Linked DNA regions of Medicago truncatula. The protein of the gene in region 1 interacts with the protein of each later gene in a pairwise test. Links are inferred from orthologs where the notes say so. Each region holds a gene or a part of one and is shown on either strand. Other genes may lie near its edges. The genes, in order: uric acid degradation bifunctional protein TTL and FHA domain-containing protein DDL.

Evidence for each region.
Region 2: the proteins of uric acid degradation bifunctional protein TTL (region 1) and FHA domain-containing protein DDL interact in binary tests that used the Arabidopsis thaliana proteins (3 or more experiments, as listed by UniProt). The link is inferred for Medicago truncatula from reciprocal best matches to the Arabidopsis thaliana genes TTL and DDL.

Annotation. Positions count from the first base shown.
Region 1 is NC_053049.1:2,635,560-2,647,562, forward strand, and holds uric acid degradation bifunctional protein TTL, read right to left. Parts: upstream 5,622-12,003; 5' UTR 5,583-5,621; coding exon 5,230-5,582; intron 4,211-5,229; coding exon 4,153-4,210; intron 3,743-4,152; coding exon 3,641-3,742; intron 3,572-3,640; coding exon 3,409-3,571; intron 1,559-3,408; coding exon 1,098-1,558; 3' UTR 912-1,097; downstream 1-911. Other genes in the region: heavy metal-associated isoprenylated plant protein 4, read right to left, coding at 122-303, 433-595; NADH dehydrogenase [ubiquinone] iron-sulfur protein 8, mitochondrial, read right to left, coding at 9,405-9,500, 10,178-10,289, 10,366-10,433. UniProt on the Arabidopsis thaliana protein: Involved in the last two steps of the degradation of uric acid, i.e. the hydrolysis of 5-hydroxyisourate (HIU) to 2-oxo-4-hydroxy-4-carboxy-5-ureidoimidazoline (OHCU) and its stereoselective decarboxylation to (S)-allantoin, a major ureide compound.
Region 2 is NC_053044.1:22,669,672-22,681,845, forward strand, and holds the start of FHA domain-containing protein DDL, read right to left. Parts: upstream 4,534-12,174; 5' UTR 4,451-4,533; coding exon 4,043-4,450; coding exon of another isoform or gene 4,036-4,042; intron 2,133-4,035; coding exon 2,104-2,132; intron 154-2,103; coding exon 87-153; intron 1-86. UniProt on the Arabidopsis thaliana protein: Involved in the microRNA (miRNA) and short interfering RNA (siRNA) biogenesis. May facilitate DCL1 to access or recognize primary miRNAs. Binds RNA non-specifically.

The DNA.
Region 1 (12,003 bases):
AAGTGTTAAGAGGCGTGTTAAAAATCTTACATTACAAAATATATCATCTAAAAATGCATGTTTAAAAGTGACCTTCACCCCAAAATCACACTCAAATCATAAACAAAATATATATACTTACATCCTTAGTTTCCTTTGGCTTTTTATCCGTAATAATAATCTCCTTAGGCTTCACTTTTGGTGATATTAATTCAACTTTATTATTGCTCTTCTTCTCTATAAGCTTCAAGATTTTCAAAGGGTCCAATTTCCCTTTTGCCTTAATTTCTCCTTTCTCAATATTCATTTCTACAGCCTGTACCCCTATAAAGAAAGAAAAAAAAATACAATGACACATAAAAATTAAAACAAAAAAATTCTATCATTTGTGAGTAAATCATGATTTTAAAGAAATCCATAAAAGCATATGGAAATGATTAAATAAGTTCATACCTTGAGTAGTTAAGAGATGTTTCTTGATCTTGTTCCCACATTCTTGACAATGCAAATTTAATTTGTAAATAGCAGTGATCAATTCAATATCATCTTTCTTCTTTTCTTCATTTTTACTATCTTTTCCCTTCTCATCTTTCTTTTCTTCTTTCCCTCCTGTCATTTCTTATTGCAAAAATATTTGGTTTGGGAAAGAATTACCATTATTTTGAATGGTTGATAAACACATGTTGTATAGGAATTTTAGTTAGCACTAGGTAGAAGTTTCTTAACAAATTAAATATCTTTGTTGGTTCAGCTAATGGTAGCTCACCAATTATATGAAACTTGTGTGCTTAAAACATAATGAGGAATCTTGTACGTTTTACCCAATTGGGAATTTGTTACCTAATAAGGATGTTGCACGTTTCATTGGTTTCAACTTTCAAATTAAAATTATATATATTTTTTAAAACAAATTTAAATTGATTCAAGTAATATATAAAATTATAAATCATAGACCCTTGCTTATATTAAAAACATTTCAAGACTCAATTATTATCCTATACAGTATGGGCATTACATTAAGCAAAACACCACAAATACTAATCCACTTTCATGAAAACTTCTAGATATTCAATGCATGTAATGAATGCATTGATAGGGCAACAATTCCCATATTTCTTCTAGCTTCCACGGTAAGTGCTGAATGAAAATGGTGAAAGCAACAGAGGAACATGAAAATGTTCCCTTTTCTGCGACTCTAGGATTTCAAACACAATAGTTGCATATGGAAAGAAACCAGTTGGATTGTACTTCCCAGTGTTGAAGGTTAACCTGTATATCCCTGGATCCACATCATCAACTATGTCCATCAGTTGACCGCTACGACCGTCGGAGTCAGTTGTCGAAGACCCTAGAACCACCCAACCGCCACCATCTGTAATCCCAAATGTCGGTCCAGCTTGACTTCCCCTCCACACCTCCAAAAGTACCTCAATTCCAGGAGCTGGATATCCCCGCGAAACATCCAACACGTGAGTGGTAATAGCTGGGCGGGTTCTAGATGTATTTTGGATTGATTTTCCTGTTAAAGTGTTTGAAGCAGCAGCAGTCACATGACCACCAATAATGCTTACACGAACTTCTAGCATTCGAAAAATTAATAAAACAAGTATTAAGAAATTATCATGATATCACCAAAAACAATAATGATGCAAAAGTAGGAGTTCATGAGCTGCACATTCAAACTTAAATACAAACAAAAGATAGACATGTCGAATGGTACAAAATATAAGCAAATTCTAACCAATCTTAACATCTTAATTATTCTAATTCCTGAAATACCCTTTGAATCAAGAAAATTAATTGGAGTTAACTACTATCGTTAATCAATGTGCATTTAATTATTTTTGCTTATATTTGAGTCCTGGGACATACATGAAAGAGATTTTCTTAAGAAAAGAGGTAGATGATAAAATGAAAAGTACGAAATCATTCTAAGTTACTTCGTTGATCATCCTAGACCTAGCATTTGTGTCCAGCCAAAAAGTTGAAGGGTTTTCAATAATATGTACTTCTATAATCAGTCAGAAATAGGACAAATATCACAATCTTGGGATAGTAAGCAATAAGTATATACAATGCCACCATTGCAGAATGCAGATCCACGGAAGGCTTCAGAAATCAGAAGTGCTGCATTGGAATAACATAAACCAATGCTTACATTTTATGGAGGTCCAAATGATCCAAATTTAAGAGATCAAAATGTTTTCTTAAAACTTAAAAGATCTATTTACTTTGGTTTCTATTCTACCTTCCTTTAACAAGTTTAGCATGTGTTTAGAAGTTCGTTTGAACCTCTCCCTGAGAAGAACACAATGCTCACTTCAGAGTTTCTAGAAACCTGAATTTCAGAAATAACATTGTGGCAACTTTAATTAAGTTTATCAAAAGTACTATCTGTTATCCCACAAGTTAACGTGCGTCTTTATTCTCGTCAGTTACCAGTTTTGTCAGAAGATAAGTTCTTCGGTAAAGCCTTCGGAATGGATTTTTATCCAACATGACTACTCAAGCAAGATCCAAGACATGACAACATGCAGAGGCTCTAATACAATTTTAAATAAGGAATCCAAATGCTTAAGTTATTTGGTGAAGATTCATGAATTGTTTTACATACAAATGTTATCATCAGACAGAAAATTTCATATACCATAGTTATGTTTTCTCATATATGCACAATTAGCAAGTTATGGGGAAAAAAGACACGATCACAAGGAAAAGTAGTTCCAAATAATAGAATATCAAATAAAAGTAAATGTAACCAAAGAAAAAAGAAAAAGCCTGACTACTCAAAATGGTAAAATCTCAAAATGATGCCAGTAACTTTAACTATATCAACCAAACCAAACACCTTATGCTTTTTCAAGATAAATATTATGTAAGAAATAGAAATGCTAAATTTACAACATCATTAGTTGATACATTTACAAATGGATATTCTCATGTTCTAGTTGATTTAATTAAACATCATGCAATTGGATTTACTCAGTTTGCCTTTTCTATAATCTATTTTATTTATACAGATAGTGGCATGTGAAGATCATACAATTCTTTCTGACGTGTTTGTTAACATTAAATTACTTGAATCTTAGACTTGACTATCTTAGAACTCACAACTTTTAATATACAGAATAAATGGACATAAAACTCCAAACTATGATCCTGCTACTTCTAGACAAAAAGTTGTGACTCAGTGATGGTTGATTATAAACGGAAAATGATATATCATAGGTTTAATAATTAATATATAAAGTCATCATGGTATATTATGAGTGGATGGAATCATTTCCTTAACCGAATTCAATAGTGCACGGGTTGTCGCAGTCATTGAAACAATTAGAACATGAAGCTATCAATTGGAATCAAATCCAAATTTGGAAATATGCTTATAAAATAACCAAACATAAAACACAATAAAGTATATGGAAGTACCTTCTGCCCTTTGACTTTGAGCAACAGCAATGGAATTAGTATCAGTTGTAGAAGATATGTTTTTTTTACTTGTAAAGAGCTTTCCAAGGCGAAGTTCTGTAATTTTCATTTGCTCCTGAGCTGCAATCTCAAATTCAACAATCGGTTTGTTTGCATAGCGTCTCTGCACAGTGAACAAATGAATTTAAATTTAATATAACACTCAACACTAGACCTTAAATTCATATTTTACCTTTAGTTCAGCAAGTAGCGATTCAGTACTTCTCCCAGATGCACATACAAGAAATACAAACCCAAACTTTTGCATATACCGAGCATTCCATTCAGCTAGTTCCTACAAAAGTCAAACAGACCACAATTAGAATACTAATTATCATCATAATATATGAACTATTAACATACCGGTTATATTAAACCTACAAAAACTGAATGTTTGTTTCCCGGTCCCAAATCCAATTTTGCTGATGAACAAATGACTTTTCCACCGTAATAATAAAATCAATAACGAACCATGATGCAGGTCAAGCCAATAAAGGATGCAAAAGTTGAAACCATAAGATACTTTGTAAGAAACTATAACTCTCTGAAAGAAGGTGTTTTTTTAAAATCAGTACTCATACACAAATAGTCTTAAGTATGCTGATAGCAGAGCAAGAGAACAATCAGTTTTCATACGTTCTTTAGTACACGAAACAGCACTAGATTATTGGTAGCATTTTCAATAGCAGCTGAAAGCAAGCAAACCTGTAAACTAGAAGCAGTAGAAGTTGCTAAAGCAGTTGATTGTTCTCCTATACTCCACCTGCCAAAATGAGTTTCTTCTACATGTTAATGATGCCAAGTTTTTCTATTAATGCAAAGAGAAGAAAGTAACCCATATGGCTAAAAACAATAATAGAGTCCGTGCATGTTTGGTTCTGCAGTGACAAAAGTTGATTTCCTAAACTTGATATTAGTTAAAAGTAAGTTGAATATAAAGTGATTTATATTTGGATACATTCACGTAAAAGTGAGTTGAACCATAAATTCGAAAGTAAAAATCACATTTGGAGCCAAAAGCTACAAATCTTAACTTCAAATTAAAACCGTTGTATGTCTTGAACCGCATATAGGATGCTCTAATCGCAGGAATGTAACAAAGCTACTAACAAGAGCTTCAAAGTAAATGTACGTTTAATTAGTTGGGTACGCCCAAGCTAACATACACTCAACTCTAGATGCAAAACCAATTCCAATTGAATCAAACATGTCAAAATCAATTATGTCTCTAGAATCATTTTTGATATCAAACATACACTTAGAAGAATGACTAAACATACAAATTCCATTAGCAACACTATAAAAGAAATTCCAAATGAGACACTATCAAACACCACAAAAGTGAAGAAGCCACAAACAACAATAATCCACATTCAAAATTTTCACTTCAATTACTATCACTACCCTAAAATTCCAAAAGAAGACACAAATTAACAAATACCCACATGCGAAAAACACAACATTTACACTAAAGTCATAATTTGTCATACAATCCCAAACGAATATCCAAAATGACAAACACCAACATGAGAAAAACACAACCTTTACACGAAAGACACAATTTTTCATATCAATATACAAAAAGGAAAGAGACCCAGATAAGAAAAACACAACCTTAGCATTAAAGTCACAATTTTTCACATCAATAAACATAAATGAGAGAGACCCACATAAGAAAAACACGACCTTCACACTAAAGTAACAATTTTTCACATTAATAAGCAAAAAAGAAAGAGACCCAGATGAAAAAGGAGAGTTTGAGTTAGAGAATGAAAACTGAACTCAGCACTTGTTGCAGAAGCATGAGAAGGAGGACGAGGTTGACCAATGGAAGGATGGGCAGAGAAAGCTTGAAGCCAACCATTGACATCAACTATGTTGAACCAAATGTGTTTAGCAACGGTGAGAGCACGGTGGTAGGAAGGGAAAGGAGAGGCAGCAGCCATTTCCTTGGCGAATTTGGTGCTTCCACAACATGACAAGTAATCGTTCTCATCAAAACCTACACCCACTTCCATTTTCTTCACACACACTAATAATCGATTCTCTTCAATTGCAAAATTGGGGTTTTGGAATTTGGATGAGGATCTATCTATGTATGTTTTCGTCGATATGTTTGCGTCAGCTTTCACCATTCACCACCACTACTTACTATATAGTTGAGACAAATGAATAAAGGGTTGGATCATTTTTTTTTCCTATATTTTTTTTAAAATTTTCCTAAGAAAATTCTTTAAATAATATTTTATCCAATGTCTTTCAAAATGTGTTTTTTTTTATATAGTGGTTCGAGCGCCATTAACTAATATAGGGGCACTTATTAGTTTTCTCTAAAAAAAAAAAAAAAATTAAAATTATTTATAGATCTTGTTTGAGTTTGTAAAAAAAATCTTAATTGAGAAAATATATATTTAAAAATAAAATGACATTTGTTTAAAAAAAAAAAAATTGTTCAAGTGACCTTCATTGTTAAAATAATTTTTTGTTGATTTTTTTTACTTTCTAACCAAAACTTTAAATTATTAAGATTTCCTTCATTTAATACTTCCTCCGTTTCAAAATACATGTCCAAATCAGCCATTTCACACATGTCAATGCACAATTTTAACCGTTAATATATTTAATTATCTAAAGTAAAAAATTATAAAAATTTAATATTTTGAAAATATTTTTCGAGACAAATCAAACAACATCTTACATGCTAATATTTATATTTATACATTAGTTAAAAAGTATGGTCAAAGTAAGTCAAGTAAATAGTGCACATTGCAAAAATTGGATATGTATTTTGAAACGGAGCGATTAATAAACACACAAAAAACCAAATGTCATAAAAGTAGTTATTTTAATAATTGGGTTTTTTAAACTTGTGATCCAATAAATGCGCTACTTTTTAATTATTAAGGATTTTTCTAACTTGTGATATGTCCTGTTGGAGAAAAAGACATCAAGATCCCTTGAGGTAAATTTAAGTTTGGTTCCTTTTTATACCCCCATGATGATTCTATTTACCCACGGTAAAAATATTTTGGAAGTAAAAGGAAGCAAACCTAATTTTCCCTCAAGGAATGATGCCCTTTTCCCAACCCGACGGACCACTACTTCCCCCAAAAACTACTGCTATTTACCTAAAGGGGTGTAAAGAGCCTAGAGACTATAGAAGCAAAAACGAAGAAGAGAAAGAGGGGGAGCGAGTGGGAGGAGATAATATGAGGAAAGAGGAAGTTTGTGAGGGTATTTATAGGTGGTTTAAGGTAGCATAGCACTTAATGGGATGCAAAAACGTGAGAAAAACTTAAAAAAAAAAAAAAAAAAAAAAGTGTAAAAACCAATAAAAAGCATTGACCACCGTCCAAAAAACGTTTGTTCTTCAGTTTTGACCACTGGCCAACTTGCGTGCGTTAACTCGTGCAGAGGTTCAGTGGTTTGTGACTAAACTCACGCATGGGTATATTTGGAAATCATGTTGGGCGCGAGTGTTTTGTGCTGGGGGGAAGAGCAGAATTCATATACAATCATACGATTTCAAATGGTTTGGTTCCTTTCGTTTTGCCATATCTTATCAGACTTTTTCAAAGTTGAAGAAGAAAGTGGCGTGACAGAAGAATAAAATGTTCAGTTTAGTGTGTCTGTGGAATTTGAATGTTGACTTTCTCTGTATTTCTTAGTGCACCGAAATTATAGCAGTTAATAGAAGAGAGATGAAAAAAAACCAATTTTCAAGAAAAAGGCTAATTAATACTCCCCCCGTCTCTAAATAGTAGTTGTTTGAGGTTGATGCACGGTTATTAAGGAAATAATTAATTGTGTTGATTTTGATGGTAAAATTAGTATCATTTATTAAAACATCCTTATTATTTGTAGTTAGTGGAGGATGAGTAGTTAAGTTGGATTAAGTTCAATAAATAAGGGTATTATATTGGAAAAAAGTAATAAATGTTGTATTAGTATTCTAAAGTGACAATTATTTCGAGAAAAAGAAATATGGGTAAAAAGACAATTATTGTGAGACAGATGGAGTAGGATTTAGAAAAACAAAACAAATAGTGCATTTATTGGAGCTTAAGCTGTGGAATCTTGCACAAGTTGGAAAAAACCCTAATTGGGTGACCTTTCGGTGACCTTTCTTTATAACTTTAGAAAAGTAGAGGCGTCAATTTATTTCCACGATCCTTCTTTTCCTAATAAGACCTTATTGTTATTTTCAACTAAATTAATCATTTCTTGAGCTACATACCCATATTTATTATGTTTTTTTCTTCAATCAAAAATAAATAACATGTTGAAAACATAAAATAATTATCTCTTAAATAATAATATTGTAAAAACAATAGTGATTACAAAGATCTTTAATACAAATATCAATTTTCTTTACTCCCGGAATTTTGTCAAAATGTTCTTATATTTTGGGACAGGTAGTATATATTAAAAATTGTTTCAATTTAATTTACAAAAGATTGAAATTTAATTTTTCGCAATAAATACTTGTTTTTTTTATGAAAACCATTTGTCTTTGTATGTTAATAGAAAAATATGGTCAAAACATGTTATGTAAATAGTGCACATTTTCGAAGTAGGTCGATTAAAATAGGACGCATAGACTATTATCCTCGACCAATAGTAAAAAAGTCATAAAAATAAGAGAAATGATATTTGTACAACCGTTTTATGATAACTTTTTGACAATTCTCTCTCATACTCACATTATGTTTTTATCATCTCTTCCTTTTCTCTCTCTCTCTCTCTCTCTCTCTCTCTATTGTTTTTGACCAATAAGAAGAAACAAAGAGAAAGTTGTCACAATAGTTGTCGCAAATGGTTCTACAAATATCACTACTCTAAAAATAATAATGACGTTTTAACCTCAATTAGGACTTGAAACTTGAAAGACCTGAAGTCGTCGGTGTGAGTTGTTTGCTTGTCTACGCGGAGAAATTCTTGCATAGGGTCATGCATATCACATCCTCTTTAAAAATAACCAATAAATTTGATATAGGTCATTAACTTTATTATTATTTTAAGGGTCTTGCTAATCAGTATTCTCAGGATATTGGTTAAGGATTCTACAAATAAAAATTTTGTCTTGGAAATATAAAATGTTAGTTTTAATTAAATAATGATTGCACAATTTTTTTTTCCATGAAAACTTGCTTGTTTTAGATACTTAACCAATACCTTTGGGCACTCGTTAACATTCTACTTATTTTAAAAGCATTTTTAATAAATAAATAAAAAATGAAAACCACCATCATCCTTGTGTTCCACAACTTCGTTGCTACTGCTATAATTCCATAGGAATTTTCAAACTTCTCATGAATCTTAGAAGGCATGTTCATCATCCATAAAAATATTTCCTGCCATTATACGGAACCATTTTCATTCCCATCCACCGTAACAACCACCCACATAATCTTAACCAAATTCAAGCACCACCAACCGTTCCTTTGCTTTTCTTTTCGGTGTTCATGAACATGATACCTTTCCTAGGATTTCACCTTTGCCGTTATTTTTCATTAAGTAATGATAATAATTCATAACACCCTCAAGTGTTTTATATACAAGCAAATGTGTGGCAAATAAATTGAAAGGCTTTGACACGACATAAATTAAAAAGCTTTCTGATATCATACAAGATTACTAGAAATTATAAAGGCATGTATCAGGGTCACCATCAAAGCGAGTGTATTTCCATTATACAAGCTATATAGTTCAAGGCCACAAGTTTGCTACAAGGTAACGACATTTATTTGTTGAATTCTTACAATTATTTACTCATTTGTTCAAAGATTTCAAGAGCAAAAAAGAAATCACAATTGCATACATGCGAGAATTACAACAATGGCCCACCAAAAAATAAAAAGTGAGGAACAATCCATACAAATTTTCAAGATCATTCACTGATCATTTTATTTATCAGTGCATAATAAGACAGAATAAGCAGGGTTCCAACGAGATTATCAGCGATAAAGGCTTTCAGATCTCAGGTTCTCTGCAATTTCAGTTTCCCATCTATCACCATTTTCAAGCAGCTTCTCTTTGTCGTATAAAAGCTCCTATAACGTTTAAAACATATAATCAGTAATAAACAAAGAATCAAAGAAACAATCTTATATACAAATGTAAGGAAATTTTGCCAGCAAACCCTAGCAAAACCCTAGAACTACTTTGGTTTATTTACTGAAATTGCCCCTTCTTTGGAGCCAAAATGCAAGGCCATGTGATACTCCATACAAGTAGCCAATCAGGTTTAGAGGGTTTGCAAGCAACATCAGCAAAATAAACCAATAAGATATCTTGCTCCACATGATCATATCTCTCAAAACATAACTTTTTATTTCTTTCTTTTCTCATAACCCCTGTTCTACCCCTACCACCACTGTCCCTGTTAACAGCGGTAGCGCCGCCACCACCTCTCCTTCCTTCTCCCCTTTTATAAAGAGATTTTTCATAATGCACTTTAGTTTATTTATAAACTTTCTAACCTTCTTATATAAATATTCATACCAACATTTTAATGGTACATTATAGATCTATAATGATATATTTCTCAAATTGATTGAGTTGATTAGAATAATTGCACATTGATCAATGATTTACAATAGACCCGCGCGATAGCGCGGGTAGAAAGTCCTAGTTACTTAAAATCAATTACCAAAAAAAGATATAAACAATTATGGCTATAGCATTAAAGACACTAATAGAGTTCAATATAATGGAAATGAAAAGGAACCTCATGAGTCTCTGTAGAAAATTCAAAGTTTGGCCCTTCAACAATGGCATCAACTGGGCATGCCTCTTGACAAAATCCACAATAGATGCACTTGGTCATGTCAATATCATACCTGCAAGATTTGACAAATTAGAGCAGAATTGAGTAATGCAGGGAAGAAGGGAAGACACAAAAGGTAGGTAACTGACCGAGTTGTCCTACGGCTGCCATCTTCACGCTCCTCAGCCTCGATTGTTATTGCTTGAGCAGGACATATCTGAACACGAAAAAATTATTTGGACTAATCAATAATGATACCGCAGGTGGTTCTACTGCAAGGAGGGTGAGAAATAACACAATTATGGAGAAGTGAAAATAAAACATGGAAAGGAAATATTGGAATAATGGATATGTATAATATATTTGGTCATTTGTCATAGTTATTGGTAAGGGTATTTATTAATGGTTTAATTTCTGGTAAATTGAGAGTTCGGATATAAAATTGGCATCACCTGTATTAACTACATTTCAATATTTCAGGAAAGATACATGAGCTCACAGCAACTACATTTCAATATTTCAGGAAAGATACATGAGCTCACAGCCTATATTTTGAGACAGAATTGTTATCCAGTGACACATGCCTAATATCTATGTTCATCCTTACTCTTCTTTACAAGTTCAGCTTGTTTGTCCTGTGCGGCTACACCACAGCCTATGTTTTGAGACTGAATTGTTATCTAGAGACACACACCTAATACCTTTGTTTATCACTACTCTTTACTATCTGCTTGTTTGTCCTATGTGGCTACACCAAATGGATAGTGTTGCAGTAGTACCAGTTATAATTTTAAAGAAAAGATCAGTAGTACCAGTTATAAAGAAAAGATTTCAAAGTCCATATCAAAACCAACTCATTATAGTTGTATACAAATACACCAATTACAACCTTCAAAGATGAGAGAGTTTGACAACCTTATTTGGGATATCTAAATTAGACAAGTTTTTAATTCTTAAGGATTGCAAGCACAATTTCCTGCGTCTGGTTCAACTAAAGATATGTCACAGATTCATAAACCTACCAAAGCTTTATATCTTGTACTTTAAAAACACATGTACATTTGAATCTACATTAATCAACTACAAGCTACATATGTTAACATCTACATACAATCAGTATATACAAAACATTGAAGCAACAGGAAAATGCTGGTATATTGTGAGTTTGAATATAAATAGGCTATCACTTGTATCAACTAGATTTCGATATTTCAGGACAGATACCTGGGCGCACAACCTATATTTTGAGACTGGATAGTTATACAAAGACGCATACCTAATAGCTTTGTTTAACCCTACTCTTTACTAGATCCGATTGTTTTTCCTACGTGGCTACACTAGAGGTATAATGCTGCGGCAGTTCCAGTTATAAAGAATCAAAGTTCATATTAAAACAAACTGCTATTATAGTTGTACAGGAAAGTATACCAATTACAACCTCCAAAATTGAGAGTTTTACAACCTTATTAGGGATATATAAATTAGACAGTTTCTAATTTTTAGGGATTGCAAGCACATTTTCCAACATCTGGGTCAACTAAAGATATGTCACAGTTTCATAAATCTACTAAAGATTTATCTTGTATTTTCAAAACACCTGTATGCTTGTTTCTACATTAACATAATACAAGCTACATTTGTTAACATCTACATACATTCACTATATACAAAACAATGAAGCAATCTAAATAGAGAGTTTGAATATAAAATTGGTATTCACTTGCATTAACTAGATTTCAATATTTCAGGACAGATTGTATTTTAAAAACACCTGTATGTTTGTTTCT
Region 2 (12,174 bases), on another chromosome or scaffold:
GACCCCTGCCCCACAAGCATATACATATGTGGAGGACACTATTAATTACTGGCACTGAGATCCTATGAAAAAAGGAACATCATTACCTTTTGTTTTTCTTGCAGAGCCTCTTCAGCAGCCTTCATCTTCATTAAGGAATCATCTTCTTCATTCCTGCCAAAGCAGCGACCAAATTGTCATCAGAAACTATATCGGCTAAGTATAATCTATATGAGAACTACAACAGAGTTTTAAATTTTAAGAAAATTTAGAGAAAATAGCAGGGGATATAAGAAATGATCTGGATCAAAGTGGCAAGTTAATGTCTTTTCAGTTTTATTACCATTTCTTTAACAATTTCAACTTTATTCAAGTAAGTGCTTGATCTCTTAAGATTCCACAACAAAGGTCTGATCATAAAATTTCTCTTAAACAAATGAGACTTCATCTCTTTTCATTTGCAAACAGAAACTGTAGGTAACCCTCTATATTCAGTTTCAATAGAAATTAATAATTTAATATTTAGCTTTGCATGTTATTCCAAGTACACATATTCGTTGGGAGATATGCACCAAATAAAGGAGCTGTGTAGCATGTTCAAGCTCAAGGCGAACTATGATCTTACTATCACAATTATTTCTGATGTTTTCATACAAAAGCTCAACTGATATGATCACACCAAGGCCAAGTTACATAAAATACATGAGGTAGCACTATTTACATACTACTGATCAACTAAACATGAAGAATGAAAAGACTCAAAGGATGTCCAACAAATGACCAGGTACAGGAAAAGAAGCTCAAAGATAAATATTCTATCAAACATTAATAATAGTATGAATTGTACATAAGAACCACCTTAATCACAAACTTCTGCATTTTCTAGCTCTTTTAGTCACATTCATGTATAGCATATTCCAATCAATCATTTCAAAATCATATCTCTGATATTATTTCAATTCGTGACACAACTTGCTCAACTACTAATTCTATTCTCTTTGATTAGTTTAACTCACTCTTTATAATAGTAAGATTTCATTTCTATCTCCATATTACACGTCTACAAATTACAACCTATGGTCGAGTAGCATATGGTCTTCAATTGATGCTACCCAATTCTTCAGGCATATGTCATTATTAAATAAACTTAAACATTTTAGTAGGATGTTCTTTCTAGGCGCGGTGTCTCTCAGCATCCCAGCATTCTGATCCATGCACCATAATTGGATGATCACCACATTCATTGACACTCACCACACACCCTTCATTTCCACCCTAACCATTTAGCATTCAGGATGCACGGTTTCATCCTATTATATTTGTTTCATAGAAAACCATATTAAGAGATACTGATAAAAATTTATTAAGCAAATTATACAACGTAAATGCTATCATCTCATGTTATATACCCTATACCCAGCCAAAATTCATCAAACTTTCTTCAAACATTTTCTTCGATGCACACCAGACTTTCTTGTTGTAAATTTAAGCATTTACCTATAGATTTTCTTCTCTTAAGCCAAATGCTACCAACAGCCAACAAAATTAAGTCCTGTCCTACTAGGTAGAGTCATCTACACGGATTGATTAATGTGACTAGGCTCCATTGCAAAAACAAGTTTACGATAAAAATGCATTTTCTTAATCCATAATTCAACTAGTTAAAATCATATGCGACACATAATATTAGTAAATTTATTCCATTCAAATCACCAGAGCAATGAATCCAAGTCAGGCTCTTAAGTCTTCAACTGTACTTCTACACATGTCAACACATCTTAAGTCTAATCATTGCATACATGTCAGTGAAATATAGCTCCTGTTAATTTAATCCAACTGTCACTGCAATTGGGTTTAGTGAACCATCTTAAAAAGTACGCACATTGTTTTAAATTTAGATTCATCTTCAATGATTTCATTAGGCCATAAATTAGCTACCAATTCTACTGTTTTCTCATATGCAATTGCCGACACAAAAACGCTGAGAGACAAACGTTACTACAAAATATAGCACTCTTATTCTTATTAAAGAACTAAAACCAAAACTGACAATTAAACAGTATGGACAACGTCAAACAGGAGCAAAACATGAATATGCAATTCAAAGTAGAAATACAGGCTTACATCATTTCAGCTTCTCTTGAGTTTTTCCCCTGCAAAAATTAAAAGCAACCTAGATAAGCATCAATCCAGAGAATATGAAAGCTTAACATGCACAGAAGCAAAAAGCAGAAGGAAAGAGACCAAGATATGGAGAAAATAAGGGGAAATGGATATTAACTGCAAAAAGAATTAAGAATAAAGTAACAAATTTTTAAGAACCACATGTCTAAGGACAAACTGTTTGACGATGTGCAAACCACCTAAAGGAAAGACTCTATGTTCTTTACACATGCGCAAATTTAGGGCTTCTCTAAATCTCAGTCAACTGCCTTGTTCAGGCGTGTCTGCAACTAACGTGACCTCACCACATGTAAATGTCACTCTTCAAAAGCAAAGTGACTTCTAATAGGTTGTCCATGCACAAGATAACAAGATCAAATCTCTCACAGTTTACATAGTTAAATGTTTAGTTTGTCTCCTTACGCGGATGCATAGTGCCACGTTTTCCTCAAACTGGTCCGCGATATACCAGCTCAAAAGCTATCGCGACGATCACTACTCGCTTTTGCAGCGCAACGTCGCGTGTGTGTTAACATAGATTTGACCACTACCTCAATCAATTAATCGTGAAACTAGGGCTATGAAGCACAGATACGGACACGGACACGCCGACACCACTAATAATTTCAAAAAATCACATAATTCGGTGTAATTATATATGTCGGTGTCGGATACGACACGTGTCCGGCACCGGGACACACCTAATCTGAGGAGTGTCCGTGTTTCATAGAACTAGGGTAAAAACTATCATTGAAATAGCCAACAATCAGCTATTGTTTACTCCACTTCTGTAGAAACATAAAACATTGAGGAGTGCTAGCAACACTCTCTTGAACACCCTCTCTAATACTCACTCTCTTATTGGTTTAAATCATTGTGGGTCTACACTTTGAAAATAGAACCCACACAAAATGGTGGGACATACATTGATTTCATCCAATAAATGAGTGAGTGTTGAAAAATGAGTGTTGCTAGCATTCCTCTAAAACATTTATAGCCACCATCAGATATTTAATTGCATCAACAGCCTCCTAAAGTCTACCAATCACAAATTATTTGCAATACAACAGTAACAAATACAAGGACTGATAAATTTCTATAATCAAGGGATCACCCATAAGGCCATAACGAATGCTTCATCAACAATAGTTTCTTTTTTTTTTTTCTTCACAAAATTAACTTTTGTGAACCAAAAAAAAAAACAAATCACATGTCAACTAACATTCATGTATATAATAAACTTTTGTGTACATGAAACCAACATTCAATACCCATTCAGAGTTGAGATATACTATAAATCACACACTCATGGAGCCAGCTCAAAACATAAATAATGCATATATAAATCTGATAATCCACCATAATCTACACTACTAACTTAAGTGCAAAGTCCAGCTGCAACGATTAAACAAGACTACTACTAGAAATCTGATAATCCATAATTGTATGCATTAATTAGCCTAGCCCAAAATCAAACTATTTCCTTCTACAATGAAGAATGGCAAGCATTTCATCACAAACACTAAACACGTCCTATTCTCAGATGAAGTATGACAATCATGTCATCTCCTTATATCCCTCGCATTTGAGTAAAATATTAACACTTTCAGAATGCTGTTGAATTAACAACATCCTAAAAGTCTACCAATCACAAACTATTTGTATGTCAAATAATATTGGTATCAATCAACCTCTAAGCTTTAAATTTCTTTAATTCTTTCCAAAACTCTATTCAATCAACCTCTAATAACACCAAAAATTCAACCTTCAATTCCATCAACAGCATAAAAACAAATGCATGAAATTCTCCATTTTTAACCAAAAAAAAAAAAAAAAACAGCGTAACAATACAGAAAGAATGAAACAATAATTTGAAATAGGGTTGGATATCACCAGACACCTCATCACGAGGCATTGAGTGACGCTGCGGCGACTGAGACCTATGTCTGCCCCTTCCGTTGTGACGGTGCTCCGGCGACCTATCATGCTTCGACCTAGATGATCTGCCGTTCCTTCCACTATCATCATCATTATCCACTCTCCTCCTCTCCTTCCGGTCAAATTCTTCCCTCTCCGAATCCCTCCCTCTGCTGTTACTGTCACGGTTCCTCTCATGCTCGCGTTTGGGTTCTCGTTCGGATTGAATTTTCTTCAACCGTTTGGTTCGTGGAGAAGGAGAACGAGAGCGATGAGAAGAAGGAGGAGGAGAATCAGGTGAACGAGTTGAAGGTTTTTGCTTGTCTCGCGGCGGAGGTGAGATGCTGCGGTGGCTCCGGTGACGGCGAGTGGATGGAGAATGACGGCCCATGGTTGTTAAAGTGGTCTGCAATCGAGCTAACTGTCCGTTTGGATGGGTTTGAGAATCAAGTGAGTTTTCTCAAAACTACAACAAATTGGGAGCAAAATGGAAGAGGGAATCATCAACTTCGTCCCTGAATTTTTACGGGTCGGTCAACTTCGTCCCTCAATTATGCGAAATATCAATTTAATCTCGAATTTGTTAAATGTCAATCAAGTTAGTCATTGTTCAAAACGGAGCGTTAACGGGGCTGACGTGACCGTTAACCTCTCACATGTCAGGCGCCACGTAGGCAGGACTAATTTAGCTAAAAAAACATTTCGAATGACTAAATTGATTGATTTGCAGAAATAATTTTAGTTTCTTCTAAAACGGCTCTTTTCTTCCCAATGGCTCTGTCTTCCCCAATTGTATAAAATTGAAACCCTAATTACACAATCTGCAATCTATATTCTAAAATCACCTAAATTTCCTCTAATAATAAGTGGTCCAGTTCTTCCCCAATTCAAAAAACTTGAAACCCGAATTTTTTTGTATTGAATCTGAAAGTCAAAATCTACAAAATTTCTTGAAGCAAAACTATTGAAATTGAATTTGAAATGAACGGGGTGAGAATAAGGGAAAAAATTGTTATGAAAGTCGAGCTTCATCTTCAAGCTCCAAGTTTAACGGTGATGAAAAGAGGTTGAAGATAATTCAAAAATGTAACATTTCATTTCTGTAATAATATTTCCATCATATTAGTCCTTGAATTATTTCACTATCTATCAAATAGATCCTTACGTTATATTAAAACCCATCAAATAAGTTCCTGAATTGTTTAATCATATATCAAATTGATCCTTGAAGCATATGGGTACAAAATTAAGTAAAAAAGCCAGAACACACAAATTCAAACTGAAATATTACATAGGCAAAAGTCATAGGTCATAAGTCATAAGTTTGAGAAATTACATAGGCAAAAGCAACCTAACTATGAGGCATTAACAAGTCATAAGTCTTAAACGACAAGTTAAGCAAAAAGAAACCCAACTACGAGGCATAATTCAAATAAGCCTAAATATTACAAATCCAAAACATCTATTAAACTTCAGGAAGCATCACTTCTTTGAAAATTCGGGAGTTGGTATAAACTCCATGAATTTAGATAATCAATCATATCAGTCCTTCAATTAATATACTAATTGCCAAAACGATCCTTAAAAATTAAGAGTCATACATGTCCAACATTTGCAACAACATTTCCTGCAATTTCTGCATCTCCAGGGTGAATACGAACATAGAATCTTGATAAACAATTTGAAAGGTGTTACCTTTAATCACAGCCGAACACAGAAACTTCAAAAACGTCAAAATCGCCGGTGATGATGATGATTTTGGAGGGGTGAGAATGGAGAAAGTTTTAGCGGAAATGTGAAAGGTCAAGGATGTTTTTGATGCTTCTGACTGAAATGTGAAGAATGAGGTATGGGTAATGCAGGGGCAAAATGGGAAAAGCAGGAAAAAAAATAAAGTGAAAATTGGACTTTTTCCAATTCAATCAAATTAGTCCTTGAACACGTGGTTTCCTTCTTGCCACGTGTACAAGACAACACGGCATGCAGGGCGACATGTCACCATGGCTAACGGAGCACTTGGACGGAGGGACCTTTTTATTGGACGTCTGACATATTCAGGGACTAAGTTGATATTTCGCATAATTGAGGGATGAATTTGGCTGACCCGTTAAAATTCAAGGACGAATTTGATGGTTCACTCCAAAATCGAATCAAATAATTTGTTTTTTTATGACATGTAAATTTACATAATTACCCATGTTGCATGTGATGGAGAAATAGAATGGAAGAAAAATAGTGAGATGGGAAAGGAGAAAGGTTAGAAGAGCAAGATTAGAGAGAGGTGAGAAGGAGACGGAAATGGTAGAACTGTAATGAAGCTTTTGGATAGTTTGTTTTACGGCTTTCCTCCATTTTGGCCAGTTTGTTTTTAAAAAAAAAAGTTTTTTTTTTTAAATTTACTCAAATATAGTTAAACTCATTTGATATAAATTTAAAAAAAAAAAAAAATTGACTTTCGTTAACTTAAATATTTATTGTTTGAATTTTTTTCTAAGTAGTTTAGTGATTAGAATTCATTTTTTAAGATGATAAGTGGATGTTTAAGGTTCGAACCTCGATAGAATAACACCTTACCCCTATCAATTGAATTATATTCACGTGAGTCATTGTTTGAGATTTTATATAGCAAAAATCACATTTTTTTAAATGAAATCTTTCAAAAATGATCTTTATGAAAAACTATTTGAGATAGTTTTTTCTTAAGAGATTTTTTCAAAATTTTAGTATCAAAAAATAATTATAAAACAAATGATGAAATACTTAGAATAACATTTTAAGATAAGTTTTTCAAACAAATTTTTCTTTTGAAGCTTTCCTTAAAAATTTATTTGTTAGAAAAATTATAACAAAAACATATTACAATACAAAAATCTATTTTTAAAAAAACTATAACAAACATACCTTACTCTTTTTCAATGCGAAACAAATCAAATGGTTGGGATTAAATGGTCAAAATAAGGATTTATCTTTGGGTAAACATTCATTTTTTTTTGTCTTTGGATATGCACACCGTTGTCATGATGGTCTTTGACTATAGAGAAAACAAAAAAATCTCACTCCAAAATTTGTTAGTCACTTTTGTCTCTGACATTAAATTTGGTTGTTAATTCCACAAAGAAGTTAAATTGACATTATTTAAGAGACATGCAAGCTATGAGGTGGAAGTAGAGGCCGAAATGAAATAACATTCTTCATCTCTTCCAACAATATCATTCATCTCATCTTCCTCAATCTTCCTAAATGTAAGTTGTGAACTGCACATTTTAATAAAATCTTTTTTATTTTTATTCTTTATTCTTTAGTAGAGCACTAGTTTGGGTTTGCCTTCTTAAAAGGTCTTACTTGAGATTTTCCTGTTTGTTGTATTCATTTTCATTAATTTGTATGCAACAAACACTAAATAGAGGTGTTTCAAGATATGAATTAGTGCATTTTAATGGAAATGAAGTATGTCATGCACGGGAAGCCTTTATTTACATGTATGAGAATAAGTAAAAGATGAAAAAGGGATAACCAATTAGGTTTCCAATAATTGAATTATTTCTCAATGTCAACTCAGTATAATGAAAAGGCATATATATATTTGTTACAATGTAACAATTGCCATTAATTAGTAGTAACGTAAAAAGCAAAATAACAGCAAACGTATGCATAATTTTAGGCATAATATGTGCATTTATTTACTAGCTCAATATCCTCCCTCAAGCTGAAGCATTATAGATGTCTATCATGCCAAGCTTGGATATAAATGAGTTGAATTTTGGAGGGGCCAAAGCCTTTGTGAGAAAATCTGCTAACTGCTCTTGTGATGAAATTGGTAAAAGTCTAAGAGTACCATCTTGAACCTTTTCCCTTACTAGATGACAATCTATTTCAAGGTGCTTTGTTCTCTCATGAAACACAGGATTGGAAGCAATATGAAGAGCGCTTTGGCTATCACAATATAGCACAGGCTGTCGTGTGGAGATAACATGCAAATCTTTGAACAAGTGAAGCAACCATTGTAATTCACATGTTGCTGTAGAAAGAGCTCTGTACTCAGCTTCAGAAGAAGACCTCGATACAGTTTGTTGTTTCTTAGCACGCCAAGATATCAAGGAAGAACCAATAAAAAAACAATATCCTGAAATTGATTTTCTGGAATCAATACAACCAGCCCAGTCAGAATCTGAATACCCCAAAATTTGTACCTCAGAATTTCTAGGAAATAAAAGGCCTTTTCCAGGATTATGCTTCAAATATCTCACAACTCTACAAGCAGCATTATAATGTGTCATGGTTGGAGCATGAAGAAATTGACTTAGTTGTTGAGTTGCAAATGTGATATCTGGTCGAGTAGTATTCAAATATAACAACCTACCAATTAATCTCCTATATGCGGCAATATCATCATAAGGCTTACCATCATCTTGATGTAATTTAATGGAAGGATCAAGAGGACTACCGGCTGGTTTGGATCCCAATAAACCTGAATCATTCAATAAATCCAAACAATATTTCCTTTGTGAAATAGTGATCCCAATTTTGGAATGAGCCACTTCGAGGCCTAGGAAATATTTAAGAATTCCTAGATCCTTTATCTTGAAATTACAATCAAGAATATGTTTGATCCTTTTAAATTCATCGAGAGAAGTTCCTGCTAAGATCACATCATCAACATAAATCAACAAGGCAGTAAATTCATGACCATTTTTCAATGTGAAAAGTGAGTAATCAGATGTAGATTGTTGATATCCTTCCTTCACTAACAAAGATGTCAATTTTTCATACCATTTCCTGCTTGCTTGTTTAAGACCGTAGAGACTTTTAAGAAGTTTACAAACTTGATTAGGTTTGGTACATGAAACACCTTCTGGAATAGTCATGTAAACTTCTTCTTGTAATTCTCCATGCAAAAACGCATTATTTACATCTAATTGATGTAAATGCCAAGAATGAATTGAAGCAAGAGCAAGTAATGTTCTAACTGTAGTGAGTTTTGCAACAGGTGAAAAGGTATCAAAAAAATCAAGACCTTCAATCTGATTATACCCTTTCGCAACCAATCGTGCTTTATACCTTTCAATAGAGCCATCTGCCCTATGTTTAACTTTGTATACCCACTTACTACCAATAGGCTTCACATGAGGTGGCAAATCTACTAGAATCCAAGTGCCATTTTTATCCAATGCATCTAATTCAGATTTCATAGCTATTTGCCAACAATCATACTGACTTGCTTCTTTAAAGGATTTTGGCTCTGTGCAGTGTGTGATAGAAGAAGAAAAAACTTGACGTGAAGGTGATAATTGTGAAAAAGAATGATAAGAGGTGATAGGGTAAGGAGTACCTGAAGACTTTGATTTTGTTGAACCATCTGAAGCATTGCACACATAATCTGCAAGATAAGATGGTGGATGCCTTTGCCTAATAGGTTGATGAGGTGATGGTTGTGGATTTTGATTTGGTATTCTTGGGACAGGGGTGAAAGATTCAGGTTCCGGTATGGTTGAATTTGTAAGGTTATGTTCTAGTGTAGATGATAATGGAACAGAATCCGGTGGTTTTGTGTTATGTGATATAGTGTCATTAGGGGGATGAATAATTGGAATATCATCACCGAGTGTTCTACCATGAGAATGATATTTCCAATTGGAAGGTTTTGAAATTGGATTATATGGCAAAATATGTTCAAGGTGTGTGGTATTTCTAGAAACAAATATTTCCTTATTGTTTAGATCAAAAAGTATAGATCCTTTCATGCCACTTTTAAAACCTAGGAACACACATTTTCTACCTCTGGGATCCAATTTAGTTCTATGTGAATGTAAAGTAGATGCATAAGCTAAAGAGCCAAACACTTTTAAAATTTTCAAATCAGGTAGCTTATCATGCATCAAAAAATATGGTGATTTATTATCAAGAAGAGGACTAGAGACACGGTTTATGATAAAAACAGCATGTGACACAGCATAACACCAAAATTGTTTTGGTAAATTTGAATGAAACAACAAATCCCTGGCTACATTTAGTATATGTTGATGTTTTCTTTCTACTCTTCCATTTTGTTGTGGAGATTCTACACAACTCTTTTGATGAATAATTCCTTTGGAAGAATAGAAAGAAGAAATCAAAAATTCTGGGCCATTATCAGTTCTTATGGTTTTAACAAGGGTGTTATGTTGTGTTTCAATTAGCTGGACAAAATTCATGACATGTTGACTAACTTCAGCCTTAGATCTCATAAGAGTAACCCAAGTATATCTACTGAAGTTATCAACAGCAGTAAGAAAATAAGAAAAACCATGAACAGATTTAATAGCAAGAGGACCCCATATATCAAAGTGAATTAGATCAAAAGGTTTCATGGCTTTATTAAAACTCCTTTGATATGGTAATTTTTTATGTTTTGCCAAATGGCATACATCACAAACTCCTTTTTGATCTATAACAATAAAAGGAAAATCAGAATGTAGCAAAGTCATTCTAGAACTAGAGAGGTGGCCTAGTCTAAAATGCCATAATGCATTTTCTGGTATGATGACAGCAGAGTTGCAAGGGGCAGCAGATACATTCCGAATCTTATCTGGTAGAACCACGTGATACAATCCTTCAATGAGTTCAGCAGAACCAATCGTCTTCAATGACTGAGGATCCTGAACAAGACATTGTGAATTAGTGAAACTAACAAGACAAGGTAAATCAGAACAGAGTTTGGCAACTGAAACTAGATTCAAAGAAAAATTAGGAACATAAAGAACATTTGTTAAGAAAAAACTTTGAGAAAAATAAATTGTGCCAATTTGTTTTGCTACAGCAAAATTACCATTAGGTAATCTAATAAAAATAGGACTAATATCATGAAAAGAATGAAACCAATGGGATGAACCACAAATATGATCACTAGCTCCTGAATCAATGATCCAAGAACCAAGAGTTGTGTTATTAACACAAGAAGAAAAAATAGAAATAACAGAAATATTACCTTTGTCATCGACTGATGGATGATCAGTTGATTGGAAAGAGTTCACCTGATTAGAAGCATGTGCAGTAGATTGTTTACTAATGCTAGAAGCCTGAAGTAGAGACACAAGAGTATTATACTGCTCATGTGTAAGAGCTGGAGGTGCAGAACTTTCTGCATTAACATTATGAGCTGCATAGTTTGAACCTTTCTTCTGTAAATGAGGTGGTACTCCATGCTTGCGATAACAAGTATCAATAGTATGATTTGATTTGTTACAAAAAGTACAAACTCTCTCTCCAGGTTTTGAACCAGTCTTATTATTTCTAAAATTTGATCTCCTATTTTCAGCAGCATTAACAAGGACTTTAGAGTCATCATTAACTGAAACATGTGGAACAATTTGACGTTCATGCTGAATAACCATTGAGAAAATTTTATTCAAGCTAGGTAAAGGATCTAATAGCAGAATTTGTGACTTAACAACGCTGAATTCTTCATTAAGACCAGTCAAAAAACGAATCACATAGAGTAAATTATGATTATATCTAGCAGTATGCATAGCTTCACAAGAGCAACGGACACGACAGGTACATGTAGGTATTGGCATATACATTTCTAGTTCTTCCCACAAAATCTTAAGATCAGAGAAAAATTTAGTTACCGTTCGATGCTCCTGCTTGAGAGCATAAATTTCTTGTTGCAGTTCTGATACGCGGACTAAATCACCTTGAGAGAAGCGTTCTTTCAAATCATTCCAAACATCGACCGCATTTTCCATAAATACAATGGATTGGCCAATTGATTCAGCGACAGAATTCATGATCCATGAGTGAACGAGCATATTGCAACGCGTCCAAGCACGAAATGTTGGATCGAATGGATCTGTAGGAACCGGAATAGAACCATCAACGAAATCATATTTCATTTTTCCACCCAAAGCCCTACGCATAGACCGAGCCCAACTATGGTAATTGGAACCAGTAAGTAGAGGAGTAATTGAAACCGAGGTAGGACCATCGCTTGGATGGACATAATAAGGACTTGATGGATCAATTGCTGGAGCACCCTGCTCATTAGATGTTGAAGCATTGTTGCGAGGTGCCATGGATCTTACGGCTCTATGATACCATATGAGAATAAGTAAAAGATGAAAAAGGGATAACCAATTA